2 linked regions of the Coturnix japonica genome follow. The protein of the gene in region 2 interacts with the protein of the main gene of each other region in a pairwise test. Links are inferred from orthologs where the notes say so. Each region holds a gene or a part of one and is shown on either strand. Other genes may lie near its edges.

Region 1 (4,288 bases), on a different chromosome or scaffold from region 2:
CTCGATGCCCTCGTTGACTGCCACCAGCTGCTGCAGGATCTTCACGTCCACTGCGCGCAGGTATGCCTGGTGGGGAGACAGAAAGCGTGGCTCAGCGAGATGGATGTGCTGTGCCTTCCATCCCAGGAGAACCCCAAGTCTCAGCTGGATAAAGAAAGGGTAAGGCGGGGACATGGGGACGTGCTGCCCACCTCCAGCTCCAGGTTCCCACTGGGAACAACGTGTCCCCTTCCTTCCCCTTCCCCTTCAGTCCTATCTGAGACTTGCAGGCAACACCATCAGGGACATACAGCATTCACACAGCCATCCCCAACTACAGCCACCCCCACAGGAACAGGGACAAGGGAATAGATGCAGGCACTGGGTCCAGATCTGAGCCCAGACATACTCCCAGACCCTGGTGGCACTGAGCAGGGATGCAGTAGGACAACCCCCAGAGTAAGGTCCAGTCCCACCTCTGTATTGTGAGCACTTCCCAAGTGATTCCAGATCTCCTCCATGCATTCAGAGACCATAGGACAATGGTCCTTTCCCCCATAGAACAGAAACATCATGGAAGTCTTTGAAGCCCAAGACCCCAGTCACACCCAAAGCTCCCAGCTAGAAGGTGAGAAAAAAACAGAGGTGGCACAAAGTGCCCGTCCTGCTTGAGCCCATCCTGGAGCAATCCTGGACAGGGGCTGGAGTCCCCATCGCCACTCCCTCCCTGCACAGCCAGTTCCTGCCCTGCAAGGCCGGGAGAAGCTCTCTGCAGAACCGCAGCTGCTGCACAAACATCTGTTTTCCTAATGGAAAGCTCAGCGTGCCAAGACATTCCTGTCTGTATGATGCTCGCCGCTGAAAGCCACTGGATTTCCCCTGCACAGGAGGAAAATATTTCACCAGTAAAGGGAACAAAAGGGCAGTGGGAGAAGGGAGAAAAAAAACACACAGTGGGACAGGTACAGGTGAGGGGAGATGAGGGGGCAGCCCATCGGCTGCTGTGGGCACCATATCTCCAAACACAACCCAAGCTGCATGCAGCACTCGTGCTTTGGGAGCTCACAGAACGCAGCTCTGAGCATCACTCCAGCCAAGCCCAATGGGAAATGGCAGCATCCCCTCAACAGGTCTCCGAGGAACCCCGTCTGCATCTCACAGCAGGCACCAGGACAAGGCCACTGGGAGGAGGATGGAGCATGGGAAAGTTCTGTCAAGGTCTTGGCACGGGACGCCTCTTGAGTCAGAGGGTACAGAGAAAATGGGCAGATACTTGCAGGGATCTGAAAACAAACCTCCCTGACCCTCCTCAAAGCCACCAGGCTGGACTGAAAAAAAAAAAAAAAAAGATGGGAGAGCTGCTGACAGCCCAGATTGGGGCAGCAGCCAGCTCTGAGCTGCAGAAACTTCCTTTCTAGGCAAGCTATTTCACAAACTGCTCCAGCAGGCTTCTCCACACGTTCCAATGGAGCACTGGCCCTGGCACGGAGGGAGTCTGGGACCTCCTGACACTGTCTCCAGGCCCTGAGCAGTGCCATTTTTCCCCAGCACATGGAGTGGTGCTGCCAGAGGGTAGGGAAGGAGCAAGGTTCCAGATTCAGATGTTAGGGGCTGGGTGCTGATGGGAACACACTACCTGCTTTTAGTTCCCATTGCTGGAAAGTGTCATTTGCACATCTCCTCCCCACAAAGTATCTTTCCCAGAGAGACCCACCAGGGCTCCCTGTTCTCAGGGCACCACATTATGCCTCAGTTTCCCTGTTCCATCCCATCCTCCCAGCACTGCAGTCTCCTATCTCTGCTCAGCACCCATTGGCACCTTTTTTCCCTTGGAGACTGCCAGTTTTGGAATAACGGGGTGAAAAGATGAGCTAAAGTGTCAGGGGACAAAGCTGGAGTCGAGATTTTCACCTTCACAACAACTCTGCCCATCTCCTTCATCCCCCAAGGGCACTAAAGGCTCTTTGCCCTGCACGGGGGCAGAATCCACTCCCCCGCCCCATTCATGCTTCCCTCCTTCCCGCAGAGAGGAATTTGCCCCCAGGGACACAATATCCTCCCTCGCTCAGGGAAAGCGAGTGGGAACGCGCTGTCCCCTCCCCGTGCCGCCCACGCGGGGCGAAGCGCCGTTGCATTAATGGGGTTGCGCGGAGCCGGGTGCGGTGCCGTGCCACATTTCGGGTCCTAATGGCATTTTAACCCCAATGTTACATCGGTCACAGTTCAAAGTCAGGGCCCAAAGGTGCGGGGCAGGCGGCCTTCCTCCTCCTCTCCCTTCCTCCTCCTCCCAGCAGCCCGAGCTCCGCACCTTCCTTCCGCGGTCAGAGTGCGGGATGGAGGCGACACGGGGACAGCACACGGCCAAGGACGGGCCCCCACCCCGCAGCCGCAGTGAGGCGGTTTCCCTATGGAAACGCCGCGTTCGGTGCCCGCGCGTGGGAGAGGAGAGAGGAGAGAGGAGAGAGGAGAGAGGAGAGAGGAGAGGAGCAACCCGCGGCTCCCGGGGGCGAGCGGCGATGCGGAGATCCGGAGAGCCCCGGGACGGCCCCGTACCCCCACCCCCGGCACTCACCAGCTCCAAGCGGAGCGCACGGAGGCGATCGGCGAGCGGCGGGCGGGCACCGCGAACCGGAGCCGGCAGCGGGGACGGCGGGGAGGGGGCGGGCTCGGAGCGGAGCCCCCTTAACAGCCCGGCGGGGGGGCGGCGGCCCACCTTGCCCAGCAGCTCCCGCAGGTCCGCGGGCAGCGCATCCCCACCGCCCTCCATGCGGGTGGGGCGGCGGCACCGCGCGGGAGGAGGCGGCGGAGCTGTCACCACGGACACGCCCCCTGCGCTTTAACCACGCCCCCTGCGCTCTGGCCACGCCACCTCCCCCGGTGGCGCAGTGGTAGGAATGCCGCCTTGCAACACTGGAGTCCGGGTTCGAATCCCCCCTGTGGCACAAGTCTAGAAGTGCCGCTCTGCTACACAGAGGCTCGAATCCCGGGGGTTGGACTCGATGATCTCTAAGGTCCCTTCCAACCCGCACCAGACTGTGATACTATGAGACTATGAGACTATGAGACTGTGATACCTCCTCCCGGCCCCGCCCCCTGCCCACGTACCAGCGGAGTCCTCCAGGCAGCGCAGAGCGCCGTCAGGTGGGCGGGGTTAAAGGAATTCACGCCCCCTCGCGTCTCTGCGGCGCCGGAAGCGGCGCGGCCCCGCTGCTGCTGAGGGGCTGCGGCGGCGCCCGGCCGGGCTGGGCCCTGCCCCGCTCCGCTCACCGCCCGCCGGCCTCACTGTGAGTAGCGCGGTCGGAGCCACGCTGAGCTCTGTGTCCGCCCCGACGTCCTCCCCGTGTGTCCCCCCGTGTCCCCCGTTCCTTCGGCCTCCTCTTCCCTCTGGCTGTGTGGGGGAGGCCCGGCCTTACCGCAGGGCCACGTCCCGGCCCCAGTGTCCCGCTATGTACCTGTGGGCTTTGCAGCAGCACGGTCCTTTCTGGGCCTTGTCCTCCTTATGGGGTCTTCCAGCACAGCCTCGTGTCCCTGTGGGGCTGGTGGGGAGGGTTTGCTCACTCTTCAGTTTCATGCAGCTTTCGTGTTGTGTCCTCGTTCACAGCCACCCCTGGTGACACGCTCTGGCTGTGCTCTACACCTCGCCTTGTATCCACCCCATCTGGACAGGGTGCCCCGATGGACACACAAGAGGAGCTGAGCGCATCCTGACCCTCACCCCATGCAGCCCTTGTGACTATGGACGAGTGGAAGCACAACCCCATCATCAAGCCCCACAAGAAGAGGAGCTGGTACCTGGCCTGGAAGTACAAGCTGATGAACCAGCGGGCGCTGAGGAAGCTGTGCCAGGTGATTCATTCGCCAGCCTGGGGTGGATTAGAGAGGATAATCTGGGGTTTACGAGCTTATGGAGCAGATGTGGGGGTGGAGGTGGGTCTGCTTGGAGTCCTATGTGACCTAATATGTCGGGGATGTATAACATGTCCCTAGAAGAGCCATCTCACTAGCTTTGTGCTTGTGTGTGGAGTATTCTGCCATATCTACCAGCTCCTTCTATTTGCAAATGGACTGGTTATGACTGGAGATACACTTATGCAGGCTTTCCTGGGAGGCTTTCAGATGAAAGTATGGCCGTGCTATGTGCATCAGGACTCTGCCTGCAGTTAGGGACCATCCATGGCAAATATGATTTGCAAACCAAGCCTGGTGTAAGGCACAGTAGGTGCTCAGAGAAAATAGGCTGAGGAGTGGGATCTTGTGCCCCAGAGGCAGCTGGTGTCTGGGGGAGCTCCAGACCTGCTTGACTGTGCTG
Region 2 (3,512 bases):
CTGTATCTTTTAGGTAACTGCTGACAATTTTTATCAAATAAAGTTATGACAGCTGCCGTGGTTTTCAGTGGTCCCTATCAGCCATAGCAAAGACTTAAAAAAGGAAAAAGTGAAGCCCAGGGAGGTTTTACTACTGTTAGCAGAATAGCTATGTAAGTACACAAGCACTTGCCTAGTCCTTTCAGGATTTTCTTCTCCAGCTTTTGTTCCTTGCTAGTGCTGGGCTCCTTTGCTCTTGAAGCATCTCCAGGGGCTGGTTTGTCTTTCTCACTTTCTTCATTTGCATCCTCATACTCTGCATCCTCCATATTGCCCACATCTCCCTTCTCCAGCTTGTCAGTTCCTGCTGTAGTGCCATCCTTCTCCATCAGACTTGCTGCAGACCCATAGGTTTTAATAATGTCCTCCAGTTGCCGGCTCAGCTCCTCTGAGATGTCACATGTGGCTGCTTCAGTCTGGGCACTGGTTTGGTCTGTGGGGGGCAGGGGCTGTGAGCTGGGGACAGGTTCCTCCTTGCTTTGTCCCTGAATGTCTTGCCTAGGTGAAGTGGAAACCTGCTGCTGCTTCTCGGTGAACTGGTCATTCTCCATGCTTGGTGCAGTACCTGACAGCAAAACAACATAGAGTTAATTTAAAAGCAGAGAAATCAGTTTTCTCAGTGATCACAAGGCTTGGCCAGGATGTGAGTGATCTGGTGTGGGATTTGGTGTGGCAGGTCATCCTTTCACTTTGGCTTGATGAATACAACACACTGAAACAAACCAACGAGGTGATTTACCTGTTGGGAGAAAAGTGAATTGTACATCTGCCAAGAGGAAGATAACACTGACAAAGCTTGACCTCTTGTTACTGTTGCAAGTGATAAAGCACAAAAGGGCACCAGAGCCATCCATACTACTTCCTTCTCTGAACACAATTTGCCACTTGCTTGTTTTTCTTGATTAGTTTCACCTGCAATACTGGCTATTGACACAGGCAGCTTTGCTTCAGATTTGCATCACTTTCACTTCCTGTTTCTCACCCATCAGCACATCTTAAGTCAATAATAAGGAAAATGAAGTTTTTAGAAGAAGCTAGAGAACTGAGAATTATGCTCTTGGAGTGCCCAGCATGATGCTTGATATGTGAATGGCCTTGCCTGGCAGTGACATAGTAACAGCAACAAACAGTTCATAATAAGATAAACAACTACAAACCACCTTTCTCTTGTACTTGCAGTGCACTGCTGACAGCTTGTTTGATAAAGTACAAAGCGCTGAATAAATCAGAGCATTGTAAAATCAACCAGGTGTAACACAAATTGATATTCAATGCTAGTATCTGGTTTGAATGTTGCATAATTGGCTCCCCAACTTGCAGTGGAGACTTTGCATTTTTCCAGACACATCCAACCCACAGCCCACAGGCTGCATGCAGCCCGGCACAGCTGGCACTGTGGCCTCCCCCTGCCCCATGCCATCATGGCAGCAGCCCGGCCCCTCAGCACCAACCAAACATGGGAGTGCTATCAGCCCCATGGAGGCACAGGGCAGTGCCAGCTCACAGTGCTGGCAGATACGTTGATGGATTTTGATACGTTGGCTAGACACAGTCCTGTGAACAGAGAAAAATACGCAGTGCTTTTTCTTTTGATAAAGTACAGATGAAGCAAACATGTGGAATTGGCACATTCATCGACACTTGCTGAATGCTGAGCAGTGAGGTGGTGGATGATGTGTTTCAACATTCCTTCTTGTAATTATATGATTCATAATAATGTCAGCCAGGTACTTAGTGGGGACAAGGAACAGGAAGGATATTGCTTTGTCAGATCTAAGGAAGCTGCTTTCTTATTTTTGAAAAGACAACTTGTTTTGAAAATATGGAGCTAAATGAGAAGCATTTTGTTTCCTGTTCAGTTGGCTGTAACATATATTTGCTATGGTGTCTAAGCTTCTGCAGCTTTCAGAGACATAAACAAACTTGGCCAAAGGCAGTGTGTGATAACAGAGTTGTAGTTCATTGTTATACATGACATGGTGTTTGTTGTTAAAATCTCCCCAGTCAAAGTGGTTCTCAGTACTGCAGTAACTGTCACTACTAAGGCTAATACTTTTCAAGATTTGATTGGTGAGATATCTGATCAGACTTATGGATATGGTACTCAAATATTATGTTTCATCATCTCTAAAGCAATTCACTGTAAGACTATATTTGAAAGCTTTGAGTGTGGCTCAAGATGTGCCTAAAAGCTGGTATCTACAGAACCATGGCCCCCTCCAAACACAACTCACCAACAGCAATGACTTGGAAAGACAGCTGGATGCAGTCTCATGGACCCCATCAGGCAGATGCATCTGATTCTTTCCTTTCTACATTTGGCACAGTCTGAAAAGTGATGGTAAACTTATATTGGTCAGATTTGGTGTCCTACTGACTTCAGTTTATCTTGAAAGATTAGGCCTTACATGTACAATTTAGGTAAGCAATTTCAGGTTAGGCAGACGTTTGTGATCTTGTTTTGACTAGCATTAATTGACAGCCAATTAATACCACTTCAGTAATATTACTGCAAATGCTAAGCTAGAAGCTCTGCAAAATATGTTTTTGTTTCTGACATGTTCAGGCTAGTATTTACAATTGTATTCATTAATTTGAGGTAATTGGCAATTGGCAATCAATCAGCTAGAAAATCCAGGATCATCAGCTCTTGTTTAGATAGGAAAAAAATGTTGTGAAATATATCCCCAATTTAAGCCATGTTGTTTTGTAATATGTTCAACACAGAAGGATAATCAGATCACAAATGCTTCACTCTCAAACACGAGTTTCTCTTCTTCCTACCTCCCCTTCTCTGTAAGAAGGCACATGTTGATGCTCCTTCTATCAGGACTCGTAGTGAACCCCTGAAGTCTTGTTGAAGACATGAAGTGGGATGGCTGTGTCCTATGTCAGTTCTTCTCCACTAAGAGCTCTTGTGAAGAGCACTGGAAGCCAGAACCTGGCCCTGCTTTCCCTTGGGAGCTGCTTTTCAGCTGTGGGCATACCAGTAGCCCCCTCGATCACAGCAAGGTCCCAGACGCACCTATGCGCATCTTCAGCCTCTATTCGCTTTGTCCCAGACCTGAATGCATCAGTAGGGCATCCCTGCTTGCCTATGGACCTGCCCTATCACTGCGAAAGTGCTGGTGGGTTTGCAATCTGTATCTATCTCTGAACTCCCCACATACCCAGCCCTGACCCTAACCCATATCATGGCTCCTTGCGGTGAAGTCCCTACTTCCGTCAGCCATGTCATCATGCTGGCTCATGGCTCTCTTCCAAGTCTTAACAGCATCACTCATGAAGCATCACTGTCTGGCTAAGGTTCTTCTCCTAAGTGAATCACTAAGACTGCCTACAAACACAGTAGGTTCTAAATCAGCAGCAATGATTGAGTTATAAACAGTGTTTCTCAGTTAGAAGTGAAACACGTGGGTGAACTGAAGAGAAACTGAATGTTTTGAAAACAAACAAAACAAAAGTTGACCTCA

What was found. The genes of interacting proteins can lie anywhere in the genome.
Region 1: the proteins of TXLNB (region 2) and LURAP1 interact in binary tests that used the Homo sapiens proteins (3 or more experiments, as listed by UniProt). The two-hybrid records come from large-scale screens. The link is inferred for Coturnix japonica from reciprocal best matches to the Homo sapiens genes TXLNB and LURAP1.

Annotation. Positions count from the first base shown.
Region 1 is NC_029523.1:19,084,907-19,089,194, reverse strand, and holds the start of LURAP1 (leucine rich adaptor protein 1), read right to left. Parts: upstream 2,802-4,288; 5' UTR 2,747-2,801; coding exon 2,552-2,746; intron 67-2,551; coding exon 1-66. Other genes in the region: POMGNT1 (protein O-linked-mannose beta-1,2-N-acetylglucosaminyltransferase 1), read left to right, coding at 3,715-3,825. UniProt on the Homo sapiens protein: Acts as an activator of the canonical NF-kappa-B pathway and drive the production of pro-inflammatory cytokines. Promotes the antigen (Ag)-presenting and priming function of dendritic cells via the canonical NF-kappa-B pathway.
Region 2 is NC_029518.1:48,828,077-48,831,588, reverse strand, and holds part of TXLNB (beta-taxilin), read right to left. Parts: intron 2,368-3,512; 5' UTR 2,274-2,367; intron 605-2,273; 5' UTR 591-604; coding exon 173-590; intron 1-172. UniProt on the Homo sapiens protein: Promotes motor nerve regeneration. May be involved in intracellular vesicle traffic.